Linked DNA regions of Elephas maximus indicus. The protein of the gene in region 1 purifies or fractionates together with the protein of each later gene. This does not show direct contact. Links are inferred from orthologs where the notes say so. Each region holds a gene or a part of one and is shown in the gene's direction. Other genes may lie near its edges. The genes, in order: MAGED2, NAP1L4 and C1QBP.

Evidence for each region.
Region 2: the proteins of MAGED2 (region 1) and NAP1L4 purify together in Homo sapiens (affinity purification with mass spectrometry; 3 studies listed by BioGRID and IntAct, counting the BioPlex papers as one, with this or other methods). This does not show direct contact. The link is inferred for Elephas maximus indicus from reciprocal best matches to the Homo sapiens genes MAGED2 and NAP1L4.
Region 3: the proteins of MAGED2 (region 1) and C1QBP purify together in Homo sapiens (affinity purification with mass spectrometry; 3 studies listed by BioGRID and IntAct, counting the BioPlex papers as one, with this or other methods). This does not show direct contact. The link is inferred for Elephas maximus indicus from reciprocal best matches to the Homo sapiens genes MAGED2 and C1QBP.

The regions. Positions count from the first base shown.
Region 1 is NC_064846.1:113,000,651-113,010,293, reverse strand, and holds the start of MAGED2 (melanoma-associated antigen D2), read left to right. Parts: upstream 1-5,007; 5' UTR 5,008-5,099; intron 5,100-5,611; exon of another isoform or gene 5,612-5,698; intron 5,699-5,725; exon of another isoform or gene 5,726-5,804; intron 5,805-6,391; exon of another isoform or gene 6,392-6,497; intron 6,498-6,584; 5' UTR 6,585-6,613; coding exon 6,614-6,658; intron 6,659-6,999; coding exon 7,000-7,509; intron 7,510-8,109; coding exon 8,110-8,418; intron 8,419-8,533; coding exon 8,534-8,597; intron 8,598-8,861; coding exon 8,862-8,941; intron 8,942-9,489; coding exon 9,490-9,584; intron 9,585-9,643. UniProt on the Homo sapiens protein: Regulates the expression, localization to the plasma membrane and function of the sodium chloride cotransporters SLC12A1 and SLC12A3, two key components of salt reabsorption in the distal renal tubule.
Region 2 is NC_064825.1:134,918,539-134,928,484, forward strand, and holds the start of NAP1L4 (nucleosome assembly protein 1-like 4), read left to right. Parts: upstream 1-5,687; 5' UTR 5,688-5,799; intron 5,800-9,946. UniProt on the Homo sapiens protein: Acts as a histone chaperone in nucleosome assembly.
Region 3 is NC_064837.1:15,103,055-15,113,197, reverse strand, and holds the start of C1QBP (complement component 1 Q subcomponent-binding protein, mitochondrial), read left to right. Parts: upstream 1-6,317; 5' UTR 6,318-6,406; coding exon 6,407-6,632; intron 6,633-7,211; coding exon 7,212-7,362; intron 7,363-9,567; coding exon 9,568-9,661; intron 9,662-10,143. Other genes in the region: ATP-dependent RNA helicase DHX33, read left to right, coding at 954-1,040, 1,816-2,124.

The DNA.
Region 1 (9,643 bases):
TGGAAAGAACACACAGAATCACTGTACCAAAAGGAATTGGTCAACACTCAACCATTTCAGGAAGTAGCATACGATCAAGGACCGGTGGTATAGAAGGAAGAAGTCCAAGCTGCACTGAAGGCATCGGCTAAAAAGAAGTCTCCAGGAACTGATGGCTTACCAATTGAGATGTTTCAACAAATGGATGTAGTGCTGGAAGTGCTCACTCATTTATGCCAAGAAATTTGTAAGACAGCTATCTGGCCAACCAACAGGAAAAGACCCATATTTGTGCCCATTCCAAAGAAAGATGATCCAACAGAATGTGGAAATTATTGAACAATGTCATTAACACTGCACAGAAGTAAATTTTTAATGAAGATAATTCAAAAACAGTTGCAGCAGTACACCGACAGGGAACTGACAGAAATTCAAGCTGGATTCAGAAGCAGATGAGGAATGATGGACATCATTTCTAATCTCAGCTGGATCTTGTCTGGAAGCAGAAAATACCAGAAAGATATTTACCAGTGTTTTATTGACTATGCAGAGGCATTTGACTGTGTAGATCATAACAAATCACAATAATATTGCAAAAAATGGGAATTCCAGAACACTTAATTGTGCTCATGAGGAGTCTGTACGTAGACCAAGAGGCAGTCATTTGAACAGAACAAGGGCATGTTGCAGGGTTTAAAATCAGGAAAGTTGTGTGTCAGGGTTATATCCTTTCACCATACTTATTCAGTCTGCATGCTGAGCAAATAATCTGAGAAAGCTGGACTATCTGAAGAACTCCACATCAGGGTTGGAGGAAGATTAATTAACAACCTTTGATATGCAGATGACACAGCCTTGCTTGTGGAAAGCTAAGAGGACTTGAAGCAGTTGCTGATGGAGATCAAACATTACAGCCTCCAGTATGGATTGCACCTCAACATAAAGAAAACAAAAATCCTCACAACTGGACCAATAAGCCACATCATGATAAACGGAGAAAAGATTGAAGTTGTCAAGGATTTCATTTTACTTCGATCTACAATCAACACCCATGAGAGCATATGAGAGCAGTAATCAAGAAATCAAATTACAAATTGCATTGGGCAAATCTGCAAAAGACTTCTTTACGATGTTAAAAAGCAAAGATGTCACTTTGAGGGCTAAGGTGTGCCTGACCCAAGCCACGGTATTTTCAATTGCCTCAGATGCATGCAAAAGCTGGAAATGAAAAAGGAAGACAGAAGAAGAGTTAATGTCTTTGAATTATGATGTTGGCAAAGAATATTTAATACACCATGAACTGCCAGGAGAGCAAAGAAATATGTCTTAGAAGAAGTACAGCCAGAATGTTCCTTGGAAGCAAGGATGACAAGACTTCATCTCACGCCCTTTGGACATGTTATTAGGATGGATCAGTCCCTGGAGAAGGACATCATGCTTGGTAAAGTAGAGGGTCAAAGAAAGAGAGTAAGACCCTCAACAAGATGAATTAATACAGTGGCTACAACAATGGGCTCAAGCATAGCAACGATTGTGAGGATGGTGCAGGACCGGGTGATGTTTTGTTCTGTTGTGCATAGGGTCGCTATGAGTCGGAACTGACTCGATGACATCTAACAACAACAACACCTTACAAGATTGTTCTGAGGAATGAGTCAATGTACAAAGAGCAGGGAAGATGTGTGTTAGTCCAAAAAGTGGGTGGCAGATTTCCTCATTTATGGAAAATTTAGCTTTTATTTAACAAAATGGAGCCATTACGGTTGTGGAAAGTTGCCCTCAGGGCTTAGAGTGATACAAAATGAATTAAATTGCTTTGCATATAAAAGGAAGGAAAAAGCTGAGATTCCACCAGCAGCTCAAGGGAGAGACTGGACATGGAAAGGAGGGGAACTGAGAAGTATGTTGGGGGAGAAAAAGGGCTCAACAGGAATGACGGGTGGGGCTCAAGGAGAAGGAACAATGGTGGGAACGGTTGAGGAAATTTCTGCAACAGGAAAGTCTGATGTTCAATTTTAAATTGGTTGCTATACTGTGCTGTACAACTGTCATTCTCCAAGATCCATCTGTTTTTTGCACAGGCCGAATACTTGAAAGGGGATGTCGTGGAAATCACCACCCCTGCAACTTTTAAGTGGATGGTGGCAGTAATCTCTGCAGTCCCTCCAGGAATGCGGTGTTATTGGTTTACCATTTTCCTTAGACGGCGTAGTGGTTAAGAGCTATGGCTGCTAACCAAAATGTTGGCAGTCAAATCCACCAACTGCTCCTTGGAAACCCTATGGGGCAGTTCTACTCTATCCTATAGGATCTCCATGAGTTGGAATCTTCTTGATGGCAATGGGTTTTGTTCGGTTTTTTGATAGCATAGATACAGCTGGTCTCCAGGGCCCTTCTCTGGGCCCCATCTCTTCTAACACTACAAATTCCTCCTGGTTGCTCTTTCCCTTCCCATGAATTAAAGTGCCATTCATATATTGATGATGCCTACATCTATAACCTCAGCCCAGACATCTCTCCTGAGCTTCAGACACGTATATTCAATGGACTGTGGAACATTTCCACCTGGATGTCCAACAGGTACCTCAGAATCAATGTTCAGTTCCTCTTAAACTCATTCCATTCCTCCTTCAGCATTCTATGTCTCAGTGAAAGGGATTACCATCCAGTTTCTCAAATCAGATCCCCAAGAGTCCTCTTTGACACCTTCCCCCTCCTCACCCCTCTCTCCATACCAAGCCTAGTTGCTTTTTTTATTTGTGTAGTATCTTCTTGATTCAATCTCTTCTCACTACCTCCACTGCTACCACTCTAGGCCAAGTCACAATCATTGCTCACTTGGATGACTGCAAAGGTCCTAACTGCTCTCCCTGTTTCCAGGAAGACATCTAATCCATACTCCATACAGCAGCTAGGGTCTTCTTTCTAAAACATAAATCTATGTCATATCCATGCCTAACCCGTTGCTGAGTTGATTCCAACTCATGGTGACCACATGTGTGTCAGAACTGTTCTCCATAGGGTTTTCAATGGCTGATTTTTTAGAAGCAGATCCCCAGGGCTTTCTTCCAAGGCACCTCTGGGGGGACTCAAACCTCCAAAGTTTCTGTTAGCAGCCAAGTGCGTTAACCGTTTGCACCACCCAGGGACTCCATTGATTCCTAGAACTCTTCAATAACCCCTCTGGGCTGTCAGGATCAAGATCAAAGTCCTTACCCTGGCATTCAAGGCTTGCCATGATTGGGAAAAGATGGGAATTTGGGGGAGCCAGAACTGGAAGAAAAGGAGGGGTTGTGCCTGTGTGAAATAAAGCTATGTGGATAAGGGAGAGAACCTAGGAGGCATGAAAGTTATGAGCTGATATGACAAACTTGGAGGAAGCAGCAATTCAAAGAGAAAGAAGACAGGAAAAGAGAGGCCCACCTTGAATTCTTGGGAAATGTGTTTGTGTGTGTGTTGAATTATCCATAGATCATAGGAACTCATGATATTGTTTAGTAAAGGAAACAGTGACTTCATAAAGCATAAGGACTTGTAGCCATTTGAATTACATATGGATGTAGGAAAGGTATTGAATATTGTTTCCGTAACTGACCACTGTGCTGAATTTTATTATTATTTCTAATAGTTTTTAGTTGATACTTTTGGGTTTTCCAGGTAGGCATTCATATAATCTGTCACTAAGGATAGTTTTGTCTATTTTCCATTATTTACACATCTTATTTTGTTCCCTTTAAAAGACTTATGTGAAATTAATATGGTAAAATCGTCATTTCAAATCAGTAGGGTAAAAGATGGATTAGTTTGCATATGGTGTGGGGATAAGGGATTACGACTGTGTAAAATAATAAAGTGGAATCCCTACCTCACTCCTCATACTAAAACAAATTTTGGAATGATGAAACATAAATGTAAATAATAAGGCCATGAAAAGTACTTGGAAAAAACAAAGATTTATAATATAGAAGTGTAGATAGCATCTCTAAGCACAATGAAGAACCTAGATGTGATCAGGAAAAAAACTGATATATTTGACTACATAATTAAACCCTTTTATACAGCAAAAATTATCATAAATAACATGAAAATATTTGTTATATATGTGACACATAAACATATAAGAATTATTGTTCATGGGAATATTATTTCATGAATCTTTTTGGGAGTAAGTTGACAAATTATATTAAAATGGAAGACTTTTTTGTAGGACTTGAGTTAAAAAATACCGTAAATAACCAAATATTTGTAATATATATGACATAGAAACATGATAGTGTTGTTGGGACTATTATTCAGTTTAATCCATTTGGGGAACAAGGCTGCAAATCTTGTATCAAAATGGAAACCTTTTTTTTTCTAGCATTTGACTTAACAATTCCACTTCTATAAATTTATCCTACAGATACAAGCACAATTGCAGAAATATACACATATAAGGATGTTCTTTGTAGCCTTGTTTGTAATAGTAAAAAAAAAAAAGGAAACAATTTAAATGTCCATGCATAGTGGACTGGTTAAATAAATTAGGAGACACCTATACAAGAAAAGATTATACAATTGTTCTAAGAAAAATGTGTAGTAACACGGAAAGATGTTCAGACTATGTAGCTAGAAAAAAAAACAGGTCACAACAGTAGGTATAGTGTACTATTTGTGGGGAGAGAACTCAAATAATTAGTATATGAATAGAAAAAAATCTGGGGGAATGTATATCAAAACGTCAATAGTGGTTATTTCTAGGGGATACGATGTGGACAGTTATTCACTGGTATATTACATATTTCTGCATTATTTGAATTTTCACAACGCATTACCTTTGTAATAAAAGAAAATAAAGATATAAAAATAAATTAATTCAATGAATTAATTGCTCTGAGGGGTGGTTTTGGTTGGAAGGGCTTCAGACCAAGCACCGTACAGTGGCATAAAGACGCGCTTTGGCGTGAGACAGCCCTGAACCGGGCCCCATTGCCCCACCTCCAGGAGGGCGAAGTGGGGGAGGGTGGCAGGGGGCTGCGGAAAGGGGCTGGGCTGTGCTTGCTGCAGCTCTAGTCCAGGAGGCTGAGACTTCGAGAGGGACTGAGGGAGAGCAGACGCATCCCAGACTCGCGGAGGACAAGGTGAGAGGCGTTGGGATTGGGGTTCCCTGGTAGCCAGACTGTAATTCCGGTCCTCTCCATAGCCAGGCAGGTGGGCAATTCTTACTGCACCCCTGCAGCTGGGGGAGAGATGACCCTGGGAGAGAGTGGGATGTAGGCAACAAGGACGACTGAGAGAGTAATAGGCTGTGTGGACTGGGAAGCAGCGACGAGAGGGGAGAAAAACGGGGAATCCGGCATCTTGGGTTGGGGACCCGGGATATGAGGGGGAGGGGAATACCGAGGGGGAATGTAGATCCAGAGAAGAGATGCCGAGAGGGGTTAGGGAATAATGGGGGGGGGGAGCACGTTAAGTAAGGAGGAGGAGGATGTACGAAATGGGAATAGGGAATTTGGTGGGGCAACAGAAAAATGCGATGGGGGAATAAGGAATACAGAGCAAAGCGGAGGGGGAGAATTAAGAATGAGGACCGGGGGAGGGGCAGACAGGCTGGGACGGAAGCCCCCTAGGGAGGCGGAAAGGGGCGGGTCCACTTCCGGCAAGGAGGAGGGAGGGCAGTCTCCGAGTTTCGGAGGGGCTTGGAGAGAGCGGACGCACTCGTAGGTTGTAGGAGAAAGAGGTGAGCAGGGGGTCCAGCTTTGGATCAGAGCCGGTAAGGGTTGGCCTTACTCTCTGGGAGCTGGAGAAAACCTGCCGTAAGGAACGGATCATACCGGATCCGTCTGGTAAAGGAGGGGACTGATCCAATTTGGCTGGGCCCAAGATAGAATCACTAATACTTATTTGAGGAGGGGGTGTATTAGGGAAGGGGCGGAAACAAAATGCGCTTTGCTAGAGTTGGGGGGGACGTTTTATGGAAAGGGGCGGGACCTGGAGGCACTGTTGGTGAAGGGGGTGTGAGTTGGGTAGGGGCTAGGATCACCAGGCTCTGTGATAGTTCGGAGGGAGACTTGCTGGGGAAGGAGCGGGCCAAATGGTACTGTGGACCTGAAGAGGGGCGTGTGTTGGGAAGGGTGCTGGACTGAGACGGTGAACGATGCGCATGTGTAGTATGGATCTCTAGAAAGGGGCGTGTAGAGAAGGGCCTGCACGGGGAAGCGCCAGCTGCTGAATGCGCATGTGCGGGGTGGACTTCGAAGAAAGGGCTTATGTAGGGAAAGCGGGCGGGGCTGAAATGGGCCCAGCTGCAGACACGCATGCGCACTAGCATGCGCACTATCGACCTTCACGTTCGTCTCGGGTTGCTTTGGGAAAAGGGGCGGGGTCCTCAGAGCTGCCGCGCTGGCACATCTTCTGGAGAAGGGGAGGGTGCGGTTGTAGAGAGTTAAGACCTTAGACGCTCTGGATTCCTGTGTATGAGAATGGAGCCGTTGGAGGGGTGGTGGAGGGGGGAGACTTGGGATTGGAGTCCAAAGAAGGTGAGGATCAGCCTCCAGGCAGAATAGGGGAGAGGATGTTCAGTGTTCTTTGGGAGCTCCCCTTGACCCAGGCCTTCTCCCCTTCAGGCTCAGCTCTTGCCAGGCCAACTTGAGACATGTCTGACACAAGTGAGAGTGGTGCAGATCTAACCCGCTTCCAGGTAAGCTCTCTGACCTCTTCCCAGCTTCCTTCTCCATCCCTTGTTGCTGTCCCAAATTCCTTGGCCTCTCCAGTCCCATCCTTGTTCTTCTCCATGCACTTCCCTGCCTGGGCTCTGTCCTCTCCCATCTCTCCCCCAGTGGAGAAAGGGAGGGAGGGTCCTCCCTTCTTTGGTAGTCAGTTCCTGCTCAGAGGAGGCCTTGGTGGGCTGAGGTGGTCAGAGAACATTGCAGGTAGGAGTTAGTACAGGTCACAGAAGTGCGGCTATGGAATTTTGGAGCCATTTGCCTAGTTGAGGGTGGGGAGGAGATCTGTGAGCTTCCCTGCTTCCTCTTTTTGCAGGCTGAAGCTTCAGAAGAGGACAGCAGCTTGGTGATGCAGACTCTACTGGCAGTGACCCAGAATTTGGAGGTCTCAGAGGCACCCAAGGCCTCAAAGACACCAGGGGTCTCACAGCGCCTAAAGGTCTCAAATGCTCCAGGGGGTTCAAAGGCCATAGAGGTCTCAAAGGCCACAGTGGTCTCAAAGGCCCAAGAGGCTCAGGAGGCAGCTGTCACCCATACCTCACCTACCCCTCAGCTGACTGATACCCAGGTTCTGGTAGCTGAAAACAGCAGTCCAGCAGCTGACACCAAGATGCAGAATGCTGACCTGCAGGGTGTGCCAATGCCTGCCACTAAGACCAAAAAAGTCAGTTGTGTGGCTAATACCCAGGTCAGTACAAAGTCCCTGGAGACAGAGGTTGCTGCTTCTCAGGCTCCCACAGATGAACCTGAGCCTAAGGGTACAGCTACTGAGACTCAGGAGAATCAGGATACTCGGCCCAAGGTCAAGGCCAAGAAAGCCAGAAAGGTAAGAGCTCTGCAATCACTACCCTTGCCTTTCCAGAGTTACTAAGTTGCCTGTGTTCATCAAAGCCGTAGGGCATACTGAGAGGAATGTGATATAATTCTTGTCTTCAGAGAGCTCACAGACTGGTGGGAAGATGACACATGAATATGCAGAGCTGCAGTCTGAACGTAATTTAGTTTATATTTACCTAGTAGCAAACATAAGTTAGGCCTTGAGCTAGGCACGTTCATACAGGTTATCTCATTAAATCTTGAAAGTAGATCTTACCAGCTAGGGATCATAATCACAGTTTTAAAGAGAAGGAATCTGCCTCCCACAGAGGTGAAGTGATTTGTCCAGAGTGATGCAAGCAGAGCTAGTAATGAACACAGGAAGAGAAGAAGCCTCAAGCCCCACCCTTGGGTTGTTTCTGGCCTGGTTGGGAGATAAAACTGCCTGGAAGACAGTGAAAGACAAGCCTACGAGACAGGGTAACAAATGGCTAGTGAGTCAGGGCATTACTACAGGGGTGGGATTAAGGGGGCTTCCTGAAAGAGAGGGCGAAGAAAAAGGACCATCTGCTCCACTTAGTCATGTCGAGCCTCTTCTTTGTTGATGCAGGTGAAGCACCTGAATGGGGAAGAGGATGGCAGCAGTGACCAGAGTCAAACATCTGGAAACACAGGTGGCCGAAGGGTTTCAAAGGCCCTAATGGCCTCAATGGCCCGCAGGGCCTCAAGGGGCCCCATAGCCTTTTGGGCTCGCAGGGCTTCAAGGACTCGGTTGGCTGCTTGGGCCCGTAGAGCCTTGCTCTCTCTGAGGTCACCTAAGGCCCGTAGGGGCAAGGTTCGCCGTAGAGCTGCCAAGCTCCAGTCATCCCAAGAACCTGAAGCACCACCGCCTCGGGATGTGGCCCTTTTGCAAGGGAGGGTAAGAACTCTTGTCCTCTCCACTACGCCTTTTCCACTACCTTACCTGTTTTCTTCTGTGGCATGCTTTTAAATATTTTGCCAACATATACTGTTCTTCCCATCATCTTTCCTAGGCAAATGATTTGGTAAAGTACCTGCTGGTTAAAGACCAGACGAAGATTCCTATCAAACGCTCAGGTAGAGTCCTGCTTATTTCCTCCCCAACCCCAAGCTCTGCCCTCCTTTGCCCTCCCTTCCATGTGCTAGGGATAATCCTTGCTCTTATGTTCCTACGGCTGTGCTCCCAAAGTCCTAATTTGTCCGTGTTAGCATCTTTATTCATTAGCCCAGAACCCTGGCTATGCCACCCACAGCAGCGTTGGTAAAGGGCCTATAGCTTGGGCATGGGGGGCTTCCTGGCTTTTCTTGAGCCCAGGTGCTTGTAACACTCTCCCCTTGCAGATATGCTGAAGGACATCATCAAAGAATACACTGATGTGTACCCTGAAATCATTGAACGAGCAGGCTATTCCTTGGAGAAGGTGAAGGGGCAGCCCTGGGGGGTGGGCACAGTGGAGAAACCTTGAATTAACAAAGGTACACGTGTCCCTTATGGAAGGGATCACAGAGACTCGCTAATCCAGCGTGCAGATGGTCAGGCTGGCCTATGGAGGGGTATAGATGAGCCATAGATGACACAGCAAGTCAGTGGTAAAAGCACAGCTAGGACCCAAACCACTCAACTAGCCCTAACTTCTGTCCACTGCTGGACATGCCCTATAATGTGTTCCAGATGTTCACCTCTCCCTTCCATTCCCCATTTTCTGTGTCCCTAGATTCCCACTAATCACAAAGATGATGGTAATAACAATGGTATATTTATTTCATGTTTGTTATGTGCCAGGCAGTTAGCTTAGTGCTTTATATGCAGTGTATTACTGATCTCTCTCTCTCCCCCTCATACACACCCACCCCCCCACCCCACCCCCCCCACCCCCCGCCACACACAAACCTCTAGGAACACCGGGAGCCTTGGGATACCCAGGAGGCTGACTTATGTGACCTCACAAGCTGTTCTCCCCATCCACAGGTATTTGGAATCCAGTTGAAGGAAATTGATAAGAATGACCACTTGTACATTCTCCTCAGCACACTAGAACCCACTGATGCAGGCATACTGGGAACGTAAGCTGAAGGGGATGAGGTGGGAGGGGGAGTTTTGTCCTTGGTACTGCACCTGTCCT
Region 2 (9,946 bases), on another chromosome or scaffold:
CGGGGCATCAGGATTGGAGGAAGACTCATTAACAACCTGCGTTATGCAGATGACACAACCTTGCTTGCTGAAAGTGAAGAGGACTTGAAGCACTTACTGATGAAGATCAGAGACCACAGCCTTCAGTATGGATTACACCTCAACATAAAGAAAAGAAAAATCCTCACAACTGGACCAATGAGCACCATCATGATAAATGGAGAAAAGACTGAAGTTGTCAAGGATTTCGTTTTACTTGGATCCACAATCAACAGCCATGGAAGCAGCAGTCAAGAAATCGAAAGACGCATTGCGTTGGGTAAATCTGCTGCAAAGGACCTCTTCAAAGTGTTGAAGAGCAAAGATGTCACCCTGAAGACTAAGGTGCCCCTGACCCAAGCCATGGTATTTTCAATCGCATCATATGCATGTGAGAGCTGGACAATGAATAAGGAAGACCGAAGAAGAGTTGATGCCTTTGAATTGTGGTGTTGGCGAAGAATATTGAATATACCATGGACTGCCAAAAGACCAAACAAATCTGTCTTGGAAGAAGTGCAGTCAGAATGCTCCTTAGAGGCAAGGATGGCGAGACCGCGTCTTACATACTTTGGACACATTATCAGGAGGGACCAATCCCTGGGGGACATCATGCTTGGTAAAATAGAGGGTCAGTCAAAAAGAGGAAGACCCTCAGTGAGATGGATTCACATAGTGGCTGCAACAATGGGCTCAAGCATAGCAACAATTGTGAGGATGGCGTAGGGTCAGGCAGTGTTTCGTTCGTTCGGTTGGCCGTAGGGTCACTGTGAGTCAGAACTGATTCCACGGCACCTAACAACAACAACATAAAAACACGCAGCAACAAAATCAGCAGTGTGTGCAGACGAAACCACGTGATTCGAAGCATCATTGTAGTTGGATAATAATGACAGCTCTGACCAGAACACATCAGAAGATTCAAAAAGTAAATTAGCATAGAGTTTTAGCCTTGTGGGTATATTGATACACGTAAGCTGGGTTAACAAAAAATGTTTTTGTTATTATAACTACAGAGATGCTTTTATAAAAAATAATAAAAGCTGAAACACTGTACGGAAATTTTATAGACAGTCATTTTGGAGTCACCCCCTCTGACAGTGTCACCTGGTGTGGTCTACACCCCTATGCCCCATAGTGACTCCCCTGGGACAGGGCCATGGATGACCATGGGCCAGGGAGACGGCACTCCATTTTCTGGTGGCTGCCAGTGATCTTTGGCATCTTTTGCAGCTTATGAATATATCTGCCTCCGTCGTCACATGGCGTCTGTCTTCCTTCTGTATGTGACCCTATCTCCACGTCTGTTCTCTCAGGACCCTCCAGTCATAGAGGGCCAGGACCCACCCTACTGTGGTATGACCTCATTAACGGACCACATCTGCAAAGACCCTGTTCTCCAAATATGGTCACATTTACAGGTGCAGGGTTAGGACTTCAACGTTTCTTCTGCGGGACACAGTTCAACCCACACAGACAGGTCCTTTGCAGGTTCCAGAGGGCTGCTCCATGTGAGGCCGATGCCTGGGTTCTCATGTCTGTTTCTGCTTGTCATAGGCTGGGTTTTCTAGAGAAGCAAAACCAGTAAAGCGCATAAATATACATAGAGAGAGATTTGTATCAAGGAAACGGCTCACGGGGTTGTAGAGGCTGGAACATCCCAAGTCTGCAGGTCAGGATAGAGACGTCTCCTGATCCAAGTAGCCGCAGGGACTGTTGAACCCAAGATTGGCAGATCAGAGTGCAGGGTTCTTGCTCACAGGCCGGGAACATCAATGAATCCCAGGATCGGGAGGCAAGACTGCAGGTAAGCTGCTTGTTCAAGTCCCAAGAACCGGAGGTCAGATGAACAGGACCCAGCCGCAGGATCCAGAGCAAGCAGACCCTGAGCCCTGCCAGAATGTTCGCTTATATTCAGTGCAGGCCACACGCCCAAGAAAACTCCCTTCCAACTGATTAGCTATTCACAGCAGATCCCATCATGGCGGTGACCACATATCAAATCTCAACGGGGAAGTGATCACAACATTACATGACTGCCAAAACACTGAGAATCATGGCCCAGCCAAGTTGACACATGATCTTAACCATCACACTGCTGAAGGACCAAGACCACTGAGAGGTGCCAGACCCAGGCCAGGAGGACTCAGGGTGGTGTCAGGGCATCCTGCTGACAGCCACTCTGATCCTGGTCTGGAGCAGGGCACCCGCATCTCATTCCTGCCTGCAGGGGAGGGTGCTGAGACTCTGCCTGCCCCTTCCCACTGTGAATCTCTGTCCCTGCTACCTGCTCTGGCCTCACCTCCCTGGAGGGCTCCCCAGAGGGCTCTCTTTAGGTACACACACCACCCTGAGCTATCTGTGTTTCCTGGGGTGTACTGTGCTGCTCCCTCCCCCCAGGCCTCCACAGGTGCCTGGCCCTAAACACTGCGCCTTCCCTGGCCCTGCTGGGCCTCTCCTCCTGGTTCTCAGTGTCAGCGAGAACATCACTTCCTCCGGAAGCTGGCCAAGGCTCTCCTGCTAGTGGTGGGGCAGGGGCAATCATCGGTGAACAGGGGCCAAGAAAGCAGCAGGCAGGGGGATGTGGCCATAGCTGGGAGGGGCCGGGAGGGCCTCTGAGGGGAGATGGCCATCCAGCTGGACCCCAGTGGCAGGAGGAAGGGACGATGTGGGCTCAGAGAATGTTGATACCATTCATAATCCCAAAAGGTGCATGCTCAGGCTCATGGGGCCTTCCTTCAAACCCACAAGGGCTGGGGGCATGGACCCCTGCAGCCTGGACACCGAGACCTTCCCACCCCCACCCGGGCTGGTCTGCTCTCTCCAGGGAGCACAAGGGCACAAACACACCCAGGGCTCTGCCCCTCTGGCTCCAGGAATGCCCTTGGCTGGGCAGGCCCTGGTAGTCTCTGCTCCTGCCGCACAGGTCAACCCTGGACAGCACTGGTCCTGAACAGAGAGCTTGAGGGGCGCCATCCAGGCTGAGAGTCACATGGCACTGGCTTGAGCAGGGCCTCGGAGCTGGTTTAGAGAAAGACCCGGCTGTAGCCCTGACCTCAAGCCTGTGCTCTCGGTGCTTAGCCCCCTTCTCTCACTTCCTCTTTCCAGGCCACCCACAGAGGCGGCGAGATACTGACAACAGCCCATACCCCCATCACACTGACCACTGGTTCAATGTTGTTCTAACTCTCTCCCACCCGCAAAGCTCAGTGTTGTTGCTGTCAGATCGGCTCTGACTCATGGTACCCCCACGCACAACAGACTGAAACATTGCCTGGTCCTGTGCCATCTTCAAGATCACTGGTACGCTGGAGTCCATTGCTGCAGCCACTGTGTATCGTGAGGGCCTCCCAGCCGAGGAGCTCATCTTCCAGCTCTGGATTGGACAATATTCTGCTGTGATCCATAAGGCTTTTATTGGCTAATTTTCAGAAGTAGATCACCAGGCCTTTCCTCCTGGTCTGTCTTACTCTGTCAACTTCGCTGAAACCTGCCCACCTGGTGGCATAGCTTCCAGCATCTCAGCAACATGAAAGCCACCACAGTATGACAGACTGACAGATGGGTGGGTGGTGAAGTAGGCAGTGCCCCCATTTTATAACTGCCTCAGCCTGCACAGGACACTACAACAGAGAGCTTCAAACCTCTGGAGTGACCCCAGGGAGAAGCCCCTACTCACAGCTGCTCCACTTACAGAATCCCCAAGGAACAGGCCCAGCTGCCCATGTGAGCCCCCTTACCCTGGCTCCCACCGGCTCCGAGGGCCAGCTCCGAGGTGGCTCTAACCACCTCGATGCCTCCACGCCCTCACGGCTTCTTTGGGGATCATCACCCACCACCGCCTCCCCCCAAAATTCAGGCTCAGACAGACCTGAAGGCTTTAAATGGATTTGAAATTTTATTCAATAGAAGGAAACTTGAAAAGGCTTAGGTTCTTTTCTTTTGTAGTTTCCTCAGCTGTTTATGCTTTTTTTTCCCCAAAAAAGTAAAGTAGGGTTATTTCAGACAAGTCAGAAAATCCAAATAAGGCAGATAGGAATTGGGACACTCCCCCTCCACCCCCAACACTCAGAACAGCTGAGCCAAGCTCACATGTGTGGTCACACCAAAGGCAGGAGCTGGTCACTCTGAGGTTTTTAACCTACATCATGTCCTTAACAACCTCCCAACTCAGAGCCTTTACAGGGTCTCTTCTTTTTCCCTGTTGTAAACAGCACAGGTTAGGAAAGATTTGGTGAAAAAAAAGGAGGAAAAAAATTCATTTTTTTTTTTTTCCAAAGCAACCCCACCCAAGGAAAAATTTCTGGAAAGATGGGCAAGAATAGTTAAAGACCCACAGCCACACTGGAGAGCCCAGAGATGAGGAGATAAGCCAGTCGCAAGCAAATAGTTGGCAGCTGGGACTTACATTTTCCAACCACATCGTCATCCTGCCCACGTTGGTTTTAGCTCAGTGTTTCTCCACAAACTGTGATTCTGAGAGTGTGGGGTTCGTGACCCCAGTCCCAACCCAGCCACAGGCTGGAGAGAACTGGATAGGGCAAGGTGAGGAGGGTCACCCCTACCTATACCCCACAGCTTCCTGGAGCGCCAGGGGCCCCTCAGAGAGCCCACCTCGCTTTGCTCTGGTAGGCTGTGCCCTGGGGGGGGGGGCAGGCTGTGCCCTGGGGGGGGGGGCAGGCTGTGCCCTGGGGGGGGGGCAGGCTGTGCCCTGGGGGGGGGCAGGCTGTGCCCTGGGGGGGGCAGGCTGTGCCCTGGGGGGGGGCAGGCTGTGCCCTGGGGGGGGCAGGCTGTGCCCTGGGGGGGGGCAGGCTGTGCCCTGGGGGGGCAGGCTGTGCCCGGGGGGGGGTAGGCTGTGCCCAGGAGCCCAAAGCACAAGAGGGGTTGGGGTGCAGACCGCCCCCCACCCCCAACACGAAGTAGGCAGTCCCCACTGTTGCAGGTGCAGAATGGGCCTCCACCCGGCCTGGGGTCCCGCAGGAGGTGACCTGTCGCCTGGGCCCTGAACGGTAACTGGACCCCAAGAATGGAGTGATGAGACAGGGTCCCGGGGGAAGGGGACGCCCCCTGCGGAGCTCTGACGGCGGGATGAGCCAGGCGACTACAGGAAGGGGCTGCACGAGCAGGGGCGCGGGGGAGGGGGCGGAATCACGAGCTAGGAGGCCGGGTGGAAACACGTGGGGAGGGACAGGGTGGGCGGCAGATCCGAGGGATGGCGGCGGCGGAGGGCGGCGCGGTAGGGCGCGGGCCCACGGGGCGCGGACCACGTGTGACGGGTGGACGCCATCCCGTTTTCTGGGAGGGGCGGTGCCAGTCCCGTGAAAGGGGCGGGAGAGGCGTCGGAGCGCGGGCTGCGCACGGGCGGAGCAGGACGCCCGGTGGAGCCGCCCGAGGAGGTGGAGGCCCGGGGGCGCCCCAGCCGCCCACGTGCTCCGCGGCGCCGACACTTTAAACCGGCGAGAGGAGCGCCGCGCGCGGCCGGGGCGCGGTCACGCGTCTCATTTGCATACGGCTCGCGCAGTCCAAGCGCGGCGCCCGCTCTGCCGCCTCTGATTGGTCTCCTTCGGCCTCGCCGAGGTGCGGTTGACATGCGCAGCTCTGGCCCAATCGCAGCCCGTCTTGCTTCTGGAGGGAGGTGCCCGGGTGGCGGTTCGGCCAATGGGGCGCTGCGTTATTGGCGGCCACGGCGGCGCTGCAGCCGGAGCGAGAGGAGCCGCCGCAGCCGCCGCCACTGCCGCAGAAGGCGTGAGGTGTGGAGCCGCGGGGTGCGGGCCTGGCCGGGTAACGGTGCTGCCGGGGGCGGGAGCCGGCAGGGCGGCGGGCGGGAGAAGGGCGCGGCGGGCCGGCCGCGGGCGCCGTCTGTGGGGGCCGCGCGGCTCGGGGCCAGGGGCGGGGCCCGCGGCCTCCTGCCTGGAGGCGGCCGCGGCCGAGCGCCGCCGGGACCGCGGGCCGGGCCTCCCCTCCCCCGCCGCCGCCGGCCCTGAAGGTCAGCGGCCTGGTCGTCTGGCTCCGGCCGGGTCCGCGGTGGCCGCGCGGCTCCCGCTCCGCCGACGGTGCCCTTGGGGAAGGTGAGGGCCTCGGGGCCGCTTCCCGCCCGGAGCTGGTGCGGTCAAATCTCCCGCCAGCGCGGCCGCCTCACGTGCCGGCCCCGAGGCCGGGCGGGGCCGGGCAGCGGCTCGAGGCTCCCCGGCGGTCGAGAGGCCGCGTTCGGGACTTCGCTTCCCGAGCGTGGGCTTCCCCGCGGGCTGGTGCGGCCCGGGCCCGGGTGGCTGGAGGCGGGCTAACGGCGGAGCTTCGTTTCCGAGCGCCTGGTGGGCTGGGGCCGCTCGACGACAGGCGCAGATCTCGGTGGTGTTGGTCAGCTGCCGCGGGGAGCTGGGCGGCAGAAACGGGGTGCTGGGCGGCAGAAACGGGGTGCTGGGCAACACGTGCTCTGCTGGGAAGGCCGCGGGCTCAGGCGCCTTAGGCGGGTGCCCCGAGGACGGTCGGTGGCGCTTCAGTTACCCCGGCATCGCAGGCGTCAGGTCTGCTTTAGGGGTTGAACCCATCCTTTAGGAGAGAAGATGTTTCCTCCCGAGGAAAAGAGGAGGAGTCGAGCAAGGCTTAGACGCCCTGGATGGGAAGGTTCCACTTGCCGTGCACAGAGGGTCTGGGAATGACTCTGACGTTGCCCAAAGGGGGTTAGTACTACACAGGTGTATGTTTTTACCGATTAAGTAACTTTTTTTTTTTTTTAAATAATCTCTTCCTTTTTTTATTGAGTGCTTCCTGTTCACGGCAGCCAAGGATTGCCTGGTTGGGACGAGGTCTTCCTTCCACCTTCCATCCTTCTCCTTAACTCGGCAGTAGCATCGCAAGTCTGATCGAGATAAGGGAGGCGGAGGTGCTTAGTGTCAGAAATTTTCATTCCCGCATTCAAAACCTTCAGACCCCCCGAATTGTGCCACTTGACATGTGTGGGTGAATGTTCATGTGTCTGGCAAGAAGGTCCATCGTTCTCTCCCCGATCTCAAAGGACTCTGTGATCCAACGTAGCTTAGGACGTATCTGGCCAGGCTTTGGGTCACCTACCCACGCCGAGTCACTTTCCCAGCTTCACAGCCCTAGGAGTCTCTTTTCATCTGCCTGTACTTAGTGTACTGTGTAGAAACAGGCTTGTGGAAACTTCTGTATTAAAGCTGAACGGGTACACAGGGTAAGTTCTTAGCTCTGCTGTTTAGGAGGTATTTTAAAGTTACTGCCCTTGACGTAGTGATAACTTCTCATGACTAGTGTTTATCATATGCCAGGGGCTGCTCTCCACTCTTTTGCATGTTAGTTCATTTCCTAGTGGCCTGTAAGATGGCTTCTATTTTTTTTCCTGTTCAATTAACCAGTGAGGTTAGGTTTAGTGACTTGTCCAAGTTGAGAGACCTTGGATTAATACCCAGGCAATTTTTCTCCAGAAGCTGTGTTTGATCTCACCTGGATACCTCCACTGGGTTTGTTGAGTTTCGATTTTTAACTTTGCCCAGATGTACCGCTTTCCTAAAGGGAAGGAAAGGCGTTTTAATGGAGAATTAGGTCCCCATTGGTGAGCTAAACCTAACTGAAGCCTGGATTATGAGGATTTGCGCTGGTTCTTGTTTTCCAGAAAGATCCACAGAGTACGAAATGCTTCCCGTGGTAGAATCTGGAGATTTCAGATTGGGATTAGCAGTTGTTAGAGGAATAACTGATAGGCAAATGTAAAATGAACTTCAAAGGAGGGAAGGACAGTGGTGATAAAGTAGGGAAATATTCCAAAGATTAAGTGAGTGACTAAAAATAAAGACCGGGGAGATGGTTTAAAAATCAGTTATCTAGCTCACTTGTTGAAGTGGAGTTGGGAAGAGAAAGAAGCCCTAGAAAATGAGTTTCCTCAGTTTATTAGCTGCTTCCTTGTTTGGGGACTAGAAAAAGACTTTCATTTTTTGGAGGTAAATTACCCTATTTTTCTGAGATTTGAGAGAATCTTAAAAGTAATACCTTTTTGGTCAGTAAAAACGCTACTGCAAAAGTTAAACTTGTATAGAATTATAGTGACAAAAAGGGACTCGTTTTACAGATGAAACAGGTATAGGGAGTGCAGCCTTCTCAAGTTTGCCTGGGGGCATTTTCACCAGAATCTTAAGGCCTCTTCTCATGGTACGATTTTATGAATTGTTTGAGCGTTGCCCTGCCGAGTTCAGTAGTTCCTGTGCCATAGGGTGTTTGCAGCCTGTTTTTTCCTAGTTGATCGGTGTTACTGATGCGGAGTGTCAGCAGGTTATCTCCACGAGCGTATCACGAGATGGCATCTGAACACATCTGCTCTACATTTTGTCTTACAAGCCTTGAGCCCTGCACTGTTTTTCATAACTCATACAGAGTAACGATTGGGAAATTGAATTCCTTGTCAGAGCTGATTTGACCATTCTCAGGTTTGATACGCTCATTACGCTGAATCCTGAAAAGGATTTTTAATACTAGTAAGTGGTCCTCTGAAAACGTGGAGGGCATTTTGATTTTGCGAACTGGCCATTTAGATTATCAGATTCTCTAGTGTTTTGAGCTTAGAGATTTTTATCTGTGTGAGTTAGTTCATGCTTCTGTGGAGATATTTTCAAGATAGAATGTGTTTAGCACCACATTGCAGCCTGGAGTTTGTACTTGAAACTTTGGCTTAAGTATTTTCATTAACCTGTCAGGGTTTTTACAACCGTTTATTGTAGAGAGCATATTGGTCTCCTGTATCTGCATTTCTCTGACTGACTATTGGGGTTGAAATACAAATACCAATGTGTAAATAGAGTTCAGAATTATTTATTTTTAAAGTTGCTTTTCTTTCTTATCTTCCTTTGGGTGTATGCACTTCCTTTATCAGTTTAAAAACTGTTGGGTATGTTTATGGTGCACTTAGATTTTGCCAGGGAACCTAGGTTTTTTTGTTTTCTAAGACAGACACTTTGTGAACGAGAGGATGATTTAAGTTCCCCAAGGACTGGAGGCCGCGTGAAGTGTGGGGCTTCAGGCAGGCAGGCGGACTGCTTGGAGCAGGTGGCCTAGTGTTGCTGTCAAAGGAGTGCTTCCCCTTTTATTTTATTTATTTAAAGCTCTTACTTTGAATAAAAAAAAAAATAAGAGGCTGATAATTGGTTTGACTCTTGCACAGCTGTGGTGACTTCAGGAGCAGAAAGTGGCTGATGCAGAATCATTGCAGGAACTGGCTCTCACCTGGTCTGCCTCCTGCGCCGACACCTCGTACACGGTTTAACAGTAAATGGTGGTTGTGCCCTCTGCCTGCCTAAACTACAGTTGAAGTGTCTGGGATGACTTTGTAGCATCTCCTTCCTGTTGAGCACAGGGTATGTGGAAAACTTTTATGGATAGTGAAGGCTTTTGACCATTCTGAAATTTTTAAAAAATGGTTCGTCATAATGTAGATTTAATTGTTTTGAGAGTCGTTGATTTTTCGTCTGCTCAATTAAGTTGTAAGCAGGGTTGTTTTACTTTGTTTGCCATTGAGTTTGAAATTTCCTGAGCCTTTAGTAGCAGGAGAGACGATGGATTTTTGCAGTATGAACATGACAGAAGATGGCTTTGTGCGCGAACTTTTCCTTGCTGATCTGGACCACTCACTCTGTAGCCTTAGATCTGCTCTCACAGGTCTGTGCTGTGAGCTGTTGGGACTAAAGGTGTTTCAGTTGTACACGCGTGGGAACGAGTACTACCCTTGAGAAGATGTTGGTTGTTCACTCCACTGTTACTGGGAGTGTTTTGTGTCTTTTTTTCACTGAGTCAGCAAGTGTTCCTGGGCCTTCCACGTGCTGGCACGGCTCTAGGTCCTGGGCTGCTGCGGCACTGAACAAAGCAGACAGGCTTGCCCTCCTGGAGCAGACGTTTCTGTCGGGGAGATTCTGGCAAGTTA
Region 3 (10,143 bases), on another chromosome or scaffold:
AGCATCCAGTTCTTTAAAGCACCATCTAGTTTCAGCAGCCATAAGCTTTTTTGCTGTATTTGCCTCACTTTATTTTCAGGGAAGCCCTGATCTCCTTTCCTATCCCTGTTTTCCTCGTGCAACCGCTGTCCTGAGATTGGTGTGTACGTTCCCCGTGGGTGATACACTTTTACTTTATATCCATGCATGTTACATACTATTTAAGTATTTTCTTATACTGTCCTTTTGCAGCTTGCTTCCACTTCCATGCTGCAGTGAACGTCCATACATGCCTCCTTCTGCGCATGGAGAGAATTTCTCTGGGGCCAGCCTCTGGGAGTGAAGCCGCTGGGTCTGAGCTTTACCAGGCTGGCCGCGTGGCTCGCCAGTGTTGCTAACACCTTTTATACTCCCCAAAGTAATGTATGAGAGTTCCCATTTCCACTGGCCCCTCCGACTCTCAGGCAAGATGACTTTAATTCTGCCAAGTTGATGGATGTGAAATAATACCTCAGTTATTTTAAACTGTTGTCAAGATTCCTCAAGAGATCAAGGGTCCTTACATTTGTGTATTGGCCATTAATAGTTCCTCTTCTGTAGTTGGCTCTTCATGTCCTTTGTCTGTTTTTCTGTTGGATTGTTGGTCTTTTTCTTACTGATTTGTAGGAGTTTTTTGTATATTCTGGAGGTACTAATCCCTTATTGGGTGTGGTGATGCAAATATTTTCTCCTAGTCTGTAGCCCTTTCCATGGTGACTTTTGACATAAGGGCATTTTTAGTTTTACTTTAGTTCGAATTATTAATATTTTCCATTATGGTGCATGCTTTTTAATATAAACATACTTTCCTCTATTTCTGGCACCTGAAATTTTCTCTGTCTACCTTCTGAATTCAACTGTGTTCGAAAATGGTTGTATATATTTTTTCTCTGTAGGAGTGAGGGGATTGTAATATCTCTTTTTGTCCTGCTCAGGACTGGTGCAAGGAGAATTTTGTCCACAGCAAGAATATGATGCTGGTCGCGGAAGTCAGAGCACAGCTGAGGGATATCTGCTTAAAGGTATTGTTCTTTCCTGCCATTCCCTGGGGGACTAAGCTGTCACTTTTTTCTAGGTAGGATTTTTTTTTAATTGTTTATTGTTAGTGATTATGAAAGTAGTTACCACTGTGGGAAAATTGGAAAATAAGGAAGAAAGTAAAAATTACCCACAATTCCACATCTCACTATTTTGGTTTCTTTCTTGATAGCCATGTTGTTTAAGTGCATTTTTTTTTTCATGTAGTTACATTTATGTATAATCCTTATTCAGCTTTTTTTTTTTTTGGTACTCAGCTTTTATAAATGCTTTTATGAAGTGTTTTTCCACTATTATTAAAATGCTTCATAAGAATTTTTTTAGTGGGAATATATTATTTTTTTAGATTATAAAAGCAAATGAGTATTTGTTAAGTATTTGTTAAACAATGCAGAAAATAGTGACAAATAATGCAAGAAGTTTGAAAGTCTCCCATAGTCCTGCCCTTCCAGGGCTAACCACTGTTAAGGTTGGAGTAGCTTCTACTGGACTTTTTTTCTGTGTACGTGTTTGTGCATCTGTCTCTGTGTATGTGTGTGTGCACCTATCTCTGTGTGTGTGCACACCTATCTCTCTGTATGTATGTGTGTGCATTTGCGTATGTGTGTGCACCTGTCTCTATGTGTGTGCACCTATCTCTGTGTATGTGTGTGTGTGCACCCTGGTTTTTAAATTTTTTTTTTGCATTGTTACACCATGTTGTGGTGAGCAGGGTTTACATGTGAGATCTTTTCCATTTCTTGCTTTCTCCTGAAACAGATGTCAGTGCCGGTTGTGTCATCCCGAGGAAACACGGAGAGCATCCGTCGCTGCCTGGCACACAGCCTCTTCATGAGCACCGCGGAACTTCAGCCGGACGGCACCTATGCCACCACAGACACCCACCAGCCAGTGGCCATCCACCCCTCGTCTGTCCTCTTCCACTGCAAGCCGGCCTGCGTCGTGTACACCGAGCTGCTCTACACCAACAAGTGCTACATGCGAGACCTCTGCGTCGTGGATGCTGAGTGGCTGTACGAGGCTGCCCCTGAGTACTTCCGGAGGAAGCTGAGAACCGCCAGGAACTGAGCCACCCCAGTCGCTGCCAGAATTGCTGCTTGCCTGGGAGCTTGGCTCACATCTGTCCTCCTAGCAGTCTCTTAGGCCGGCGCTAAGAGAGACATGAGTTTCATAGAGCTGGTGCACCCAGCTTCCAGGAGCTTGGAGGCGTCTTTGTTTACACTTTTATGACTCTACCATGTAGAAAGTATACAGGCCATTTATACTTCGTAAACTTCAAAGTTATGCTTTTGGTTCTTGCTAGCTGACTTTGGGCGACTTAGTTAATTTCTGAGCCTCAGTTTCCTCATCTGCCAAGTGGGGATGATGATGATAATACTTCCTCTCAGGGTCCAGGTCATGAAGTTAGGGGAAAATGAGTGGAAAGTACCTAGAGCTGTGTCTCACACACGACAGACACAATAGACATACAATAAATTGTGAGCCATTATTGCTTTTTACATGATGGGAATTGAGTACAACAAAATTCCATGAGTTCTTATGACCGTGAGGGGGACACTCCGAGAGGGGCCGTAGGAGGTCACAGAGCTTGGATGTTGTCCTTAGATCTACTTTAATTTCTATCTGAAGTTTTAAAATAGAAAACATAAGAAACTGACTTCTGTAGAAGTCTCCAGAGGGAGGTGCTTTTGTCTCTGACCTCATGGGATGGCTGCCCCCAGTGGCCCCCCACTGCCCAGGGTATGGCCTCCCTCTTGCTGTCTCCACAGAGACCGGTAAGGGAGTGCCCCCAGGTCGCCAGGCTGCGTCTGCTCCAGGAAGTCTCCATCTTTGGTGCCTCTGTAGTACATGTCTCCTGTCAGTGCTCTTAGGAGACATTTCAGCTTCCTGAGCTAAGGTTGATTTGTATCTTTTGAATCCTGTAAGTATAGACGTCAGAAACTGACTTTTTAGTATAATGGCTCCCAGCATACCCAGTTGTCTTTTTTCTCTCTGACTGGGCTCATATAAGCATGTCACCATAAGGAATGGCTCTGGGCTATACCTCAGCCATTTCTCTTCTGGCAGGACCCCTTACTCCGAGAACCTGGGTGGCGGTGGTGTAGCTGCAGGCCAATGAGAACCCAGAGGGCATTGGCTCATCCCGTCCACATCTTGGCTTTATATTCCTTGCTGCTTATTTATTTTCTGTCATCTTTTTCCTTCTTCTTAGGCACTTGGGGACAATCTGGCTTTGCCACTTCTTAACTGTGCCTGTTACCCACTCCTGCCCTCACTTTCCACATTTATCAGAGGGAATTGGAAGACCTGCACAGTCTTCCTGTTCCCATGTTTTGAGAAGGGAGAAGACACCAAAGGTTCTTCTTAGGTATGCAGTTATCAAAAGCAAATAATCTTTCCCCAGAGAATGTTCGGTCCTGGAAGAAGCTCTTTAATTGTGCTTCATTGGTCTAAACACATCTGTGCAGAATTTGGTCATTTCTTAAAATCGCAAAGTGAATCATGCAGTTTACAGGCATGGGGCCAAACTGTGCCTAGAATCTTCTTCAAAGACAGCGGACAGTCTCTTCAGTCTGGGTCAAGGAACTCTTCCGTGAGACCACGCCCAACGGAGTGCCTCAGTCCCACATTGTCCCCAGTTGTGCACGTGAAGGCCAGATCAGTTTCTATGACACCGGCTCCACCCTTGAGCATTCAAGCATTTAACCTGTGTTCAGGGGCTGTCGGGGCACCTGCGACTTATTTCTATTAGAAATAGCTACATTTACACCAAACAGAATTTGACAGATCCTGTACACCCTGTCTCACTGCGTTCTTAGACTTGTAGCTGAGGGCAGTGGTGGTTCAGTGGTAGAATTCTCACCTTCCATGTGAGAGACCCAGGTTCGATTCCTGGCCAATGCACCTCAAGTGCAGCTACCACTCACCTGTCAGTTGAGGCTTACATGTTGCTGTGATGCTAAACAGGTTTCAGCAGAGCTTCCAGACTAAGGCAGACTAGGAGGAAAGGCCTGGTGATCCACTGCCGAAAATCAGCCAGTGAAACACTACGGGTCACAACAGGCCAGTCCTGTTGGGCAGGGGGTCCCCGTGAGTTGGGGGCCGACTTGACCGCAGCTAAGAGACACAATTTTTAGCTAGCTCTTCCTCAGAACTACTTGCTTTTACCATTGCTAACTTTCTGAAAAAAAAAAATTTTTTTTTCCCATGTATTTTATAGAGTGCCAGCAGGCAGGAGGGTGTTTAGCCTGACTTGGTAAAAGAAAACATTATATTTCTAATAAAACATTCATCATGATGGTAAAAAATTAGGGGTAGGGTGATTTATTATATTTCTCAGCATATTATCTAACTAGAGGTGTTCTCTGATTCACGCAAAACTTTATGTAGATAATGTCCAGCTTAAGTACCTGAAAGTTTTCCAGAAATACCGTTTTCCGAGTGGGAGTAAGGGGTAAGGGAGTATAAATCGCCTCTGAGTAGCTTTAACGTTTCTGTATAGAAATACTTTTATCACTAACATTCTGGTAGAGTTTTAATATTTAGGTTTTTATCGTGCTTTTTAAGATGTTAAAACTTTTAACCTGGTTGCTCAGGGATTAAATCAGATTGGAAAACCCATTCTGACTCCTATGTATTACTACAAAGAAAGAAATGGTTATTTTTATTGAGCTGCAGGGAGTAGTATGCTTTAAACTTAGACTTTCTTAAGAAAGTTAAAATGCTTCACAATGATGTTGCAGTATCGTCCTGAGGGACTTTTTTCAATTGATAAAATCTCTGATGATGCGAGACTTCTTTTCCACCCAGTGAAATCCACATCTGGACTAGTCACTAGCTCCCCTGAGCAGCGGCATGTAAATAAATGCACTCCCAGCGTTTCGCACCCTCAGGCCTTCTTCTTGGTCATAAACTGTGAGACATCCGAAGTGAGAAAGGTTTCACTACAAGGGAAAGCACTGCAAACAGTGGGTCCTGAGGGGGCAGCAAAGAACCTTGACGTTGCATCTGTGCTGGTTTTAGCAAGGTAGCCGGACAGAGGCAAACATTTGCTCTGGGGTAAAACTCGTTACGTACTGTGACTGGTAAATTTGTTCAATCCAGCTACCAGGAACTGCTTGAAATTGGCCAGATACCATTCCTTAAACATACAAGGAAATACCGCACCTGTGGGGAAACAAGAATTTTTTTTTTTTTTGGCTTTAACAAAGAAAGTTAATTTTCTTGCAGTATAGTAGGCTAAAAGTCCAAATTCAGGGTGTCGGCTCCAGGGGAAGGTTTTCTCTCTCTCTGTTGGCTCCGGAGGAAGGTCCTCGTCCTCGATCTTCACATGGTTGAGGAGCTTCTCAGGCGCAGTGACCCCAGGTCCAAACGACACTCTCGTGGTGCTTTCTTGGTGGTATGAGATCCCCAACTCTGCTTGCTTCAAAACAAGAATTTTATTCTATTTTATTTGATCAGAATATTGTAACTTGCAAAAAAACGAGTCAGAAAAAAAATGGTTTGGGTTTATGTTGCATTTTGAGTCTGGTCTTGCTCAAACAGCTCTATAGAAACATCAGCTCTTGCATATGTAATGCTTAAATTTGCACATGACTATCAAGTCCATTAAAAATCAACCTTGTACATGATGTGTGTGGCTTCTTTCTTGGGTCTCCTTTCCCTATTTACGGACGGTTGTTTAGAATATACCAAGTAATTAGTCTTAATCTTTCTCACTAATTTGGGAAGACATACTTTCTCGGTACTTTATACATCCCGTGGGTGATTCCTAACCTGAATCTGATACAAACCATAGCTTCTTGCTCCAGAACAATGATGTTCAGAGCTTGGGTGCGAGGCTGGAGGGAGGGCACAGACCCTGGCCCGCGGGAGTGAGGGGAGGCGGCCAGGTCCATCAGCAGTACCAGGAGGTGTCTGCGGAAGGAAAAGTGAAGCCACGGGCTGTGGGCGCACGGGCATGAGTTAACCATCTGGTGGGAGGGAGGATGAGGTACCAGGAAGGCCTCTTAAAGGAGGTGACTTCGGAGTTGGGGTGTTCACGAAGTCCTATTAGTCCTGTCGCGCTTTGAAAACAGTAGATGGAAACTCGGAGAGTCTAGCATCCGCGGGCCACAACTTATGCTGGCCATTTATACAGACTTGGACGTTACTCAGGTCGACTCAGAACCGGAGGCCGTCAGAAGGGGGCGCTGCACGGCCCACGAGCCTTTCGACCTTTAAAGCGGCGACGCGGGAAGCGCTTCCCGTGCGAAGGCGGTACTTCCGGCGGCGCGCTGGGTCCGGGGGCCCCTTGGCCCCAGTTGTCCTTCGCATCGGCACGTGTCGCGCCGCAGCTTCCGCGTCGGTGATGCTGCCCCTACTGCGCTGCGCGCCCCGCGCCCTGGGCTCCGCCGTGGGCGGCCTCCGCGCCGCCGCGCCCTTCCCGCCGCTCCGGCGGCTGCTGCAGCCGGCGCCCCAGCCCTGCGCCCGGCCCTTCGGGCTGCTCAGCGTGCGCGCGGGCTCGGAGCGGCGGCCCGGCCTCCTGCGGCCCCGCGGGCCCTGCGGCTGCGGCTGCGGTGGGCTGCACACTGAAGGTGGGGCCGGATCCGGGGCCGACATGGGGGGCTCCGGGGGCCCGGGGAGGGGGAGGGCGAGTGTAGGCCGGGAGCCTGCTGCTGGAGCCGCCTCCCGGAGCGCCGAGCGTTCTGTCCACTGATGAGCTGCACGGGTGGCTGAGCTCACGTGGCAGCACGTTCCCGCACCCCACCCGGGAGAGCGAGCATTAAGCCCTGGGCGCCGCCTTTATCCTGAGTCCCGCGAAAACTGAGCTTTAGGAAGGCCGAGGGCTGTGGTTGAAAGCAGCATGGTTATGTCGGTTGACAAGTTCAGGAAGGTAGTCGGGCGTTCTTTGCTTTGTGGCGAAACGTGGTCATGAGATTGTTGGAAATCACTTCTCCAGACTCGAATTCAGCTTCCCACGGAGACCGTTATGGAATTTTTACAAATGAGGCTTAAGGAAGTGAATTGGACTAAATTCCCAGAGCAACCGTCGATAGCAAAGACATTAGAGACAGCCCAAGTCCAGATATCTGGCTGCAGTAACCTGGGTCATTGTTTGATGCTTTTAGACTGATTGACTTTTTTTTTCTGTGTCATCTGGTTTCTCATTTTAGGAGACAAAGCATTTGTTGAGTTCCTGAATGATGAAATTAAGGAGGAGAAGAAAATCCAGAAACATAAGTCCCTCCCCAAGATGTCTGGAGGCTGGGAGCTGGAAGTGAATGGGACAGAAGCTAAATTAGTGCGGAAAGTTGCTGGGGAAAAGTAAGTACCAGGCTCAGTGCTTGGGAACTCCAGGGGCCAAATCCAGGACCCTGCAAGAGCTGCCCTGGGCCTACTCCAGAACAGCCTTGAGTTTAAGGCAGGTAATTTGATACATAACTTTCAAGAGAAAGAGAAGGGTGCATCTGGACAAGTTCCTAAGTTTCAGGTCATTCACTGGACACAAATTTGCTGTGGGCTGGTTACAAAGGAGACAGTAAGGAAGTGGAACAAAAGCGTGTGACTGGAAGTCTATTGGCCCAGTAAAGGCAGTCTGCAGTAAACCTTTGCTGGTGGAGAGACCATGCCCTGTCTAAATTTAGGCCTGCAAAATCAGAAATTCTTATATTCCTGTTAAAACAGTCAGTGATCTCTGGTTTACGGTGCTGACTAATAACCTGCCGGGCTGGCTCTGTGTCTGAGTAAAGCCAGGCACTTTGCTCTCTGAATGTTTACAGTAGGTGAAAAAGTAAGATATGTAATTTATAGGTAACAGGATTGGGTGACAATATAGTAAGGGCTGCACTCACAGGTGGGCAGCTTTTGACCTAGTTCAGCTCCTCCCCATTCCTAACTGTTAAATTCTTTTTCTGCAGTATGTAGTCATCCTTAATCCCACTTTACGGCTAAACATTTAGGGTCTTCTGGTTTCTTCCCCAGAGTATACAGCTCAGTGGCTTTTAGCATTCACAAAGTTGTGCCTTGATCACCGCTACCTAATTCCAGAACATTTTCACCACCACCCTGCCCCACCCCCCCCCAAAAAAGCCAAACCCATTGGCAGTCACTCCCCATCCGACGTCTCTCCCCTTAGTAACCACTAATCTACTCTCTGCCTCTATGGATTTGCGTGTTCATATATTCTGGATACAGTTCCCTTCTCAGATATATGATTTGCAAATATTTTCTCCCATTCCCTAGATTTTCATTTTTTTGATGGTGTTCTTTGAAGCATAAAAAAGGTTAATGTTGATGAAGTCCAGTTTATCTTTTTTTGCTTCTGTTTTTAGTGGCCTGACCCAAGGTCACCAAGATTTATATCTACGTTTTCTTCTGAGTTTTATGTAGTTTTGGCCGTTATGTTTAGGTTGGTGATTGGTCTTGAGTTAATTTATACCTGTGAGGCAGACTACTGATTCTTTTTTTGCCTGGGGGTATAGTTGCTTTTTGCCATACATAGATCAATTGTATGTTCTGTCACTTCACCTAAACTGTTTCCTTCGGAGTTGGATAGTGAGCCGTAACCAGCTTCTGGCTATTATAAATAAAACTGCAGCGAATGTCATGCATTTGTGTGCCCAGGAGCTCAGCTTATTGCCTAACACTACTGCAGATGAGGTAGATTTTGTGGTTGAACCTCAAACCACATTGTTCCTATGGGAAAATGGCTTCCTGGCAAAGCAGCCAGTTAGCACCACTCCAGGGGCACCTATTAGTGTGTGCCGAGAGGTGTCCTTCCTGTAAAGCAAATGGGAACAGTACCTGCTGGAGTGTGCAGCCCAGGATTGCTACTTCCAGATTTAGCATCACTGGAACTTTGACTCAGATTTTGGAATGTGATTGTCAGCTGAGCGTGCTTGCTTGCATCTTCAGATTGTCATTAGCTGTACACAGATGAATTGTGTGTTCTGTCGCTTCACTAAAGTGTTTCCTGGCCTCCCACAGCACAGCGGAGAATGAGTCTGTCCTGCAGCATGTTCCCGGTGAAGTCCCCCTTCCTGGCTAGGGCTGCAAGTGGTCCTCAGCTGATGTAACTCCAGTGCTCACTCGCTTTTCCTCCCAGGGGCAGGTTTTGTGATGGAGAAAGCTCTTAAAGGAGCACCGACTTCTCAGCTGCCCACCTCCATCAGGAAAGTGCCGGGGAAAGACTAGGGCAGGCAGTGTCAGCTGGGCAGTGAGCCCTGGGATGCTGGCCTGTTGGAAGTAGCCGACATGTGACTGTATTTGGCCATGATGGACTAGGGCTCATGAGTTTGACTTCCAGCAGCTGGCACAAAGTAGACGCACTTGAGGCCTTTTGAATCATTCTCAGGGTTGGGTGTAGGTACCTAGGCTTTTCTGGAAGTTCTGCACATAATTCAGATGTATAGCCAGCTAGGGTACAGACATTGTTTCAGCAAGCGCTGCTGGCTACAGCAGGTTTGGATACTTGTGAATTAAACTAAGTTAACGTTACACTGTGCCTGTTGTTTTCCTTCGCCCTCCTAGGATCACTGTCACCTTTAACATTAACAATAGCATCCCACCAACATTCAGTGGGGAGGAGGAGCCCTCACAAGAGCAGAAGGCTGAAGAACAAGAGGTAAGCTTGTAACACTGTAACCAGCCTTTCCCTGGGATTTCTGGCAGACTACAAAGGAGCAGTTCCTTTTTTGTTTTAACTCCTAAAAGGCCTTGAGTGGCACAGAAGGCTAAGTTGTCAGCTGCTAACTGAAAATTTGGAGGTTCAAGTCTACCCAGAGGAGCCTTGGAAGAAAGGCTTGGTGATCTATGTCTGAAAAATCATAGCCGTTGAAAGCCCTATGGAACACAGTTCTACTGTTACACCATGGGGTTGTCATGAGTCTGAATTGACTCAATGCCAGAAAAAGACGGCAAAGGAAAACCCTCCTGAACTTTTGTAGAGCAGCAGTTTCTGGCCAGCTTTGGCACTGGGGCCATGTGGGACCTTTTCCTTCTCAGGTACTGAATACATGACCATCTGTAGGCTCAGGCTCCAAAAGTTGGCCTAAATTCTCTTGATGGAAGGATTTGAAACTTCTTAACTCTTCCCACAATGGGGAG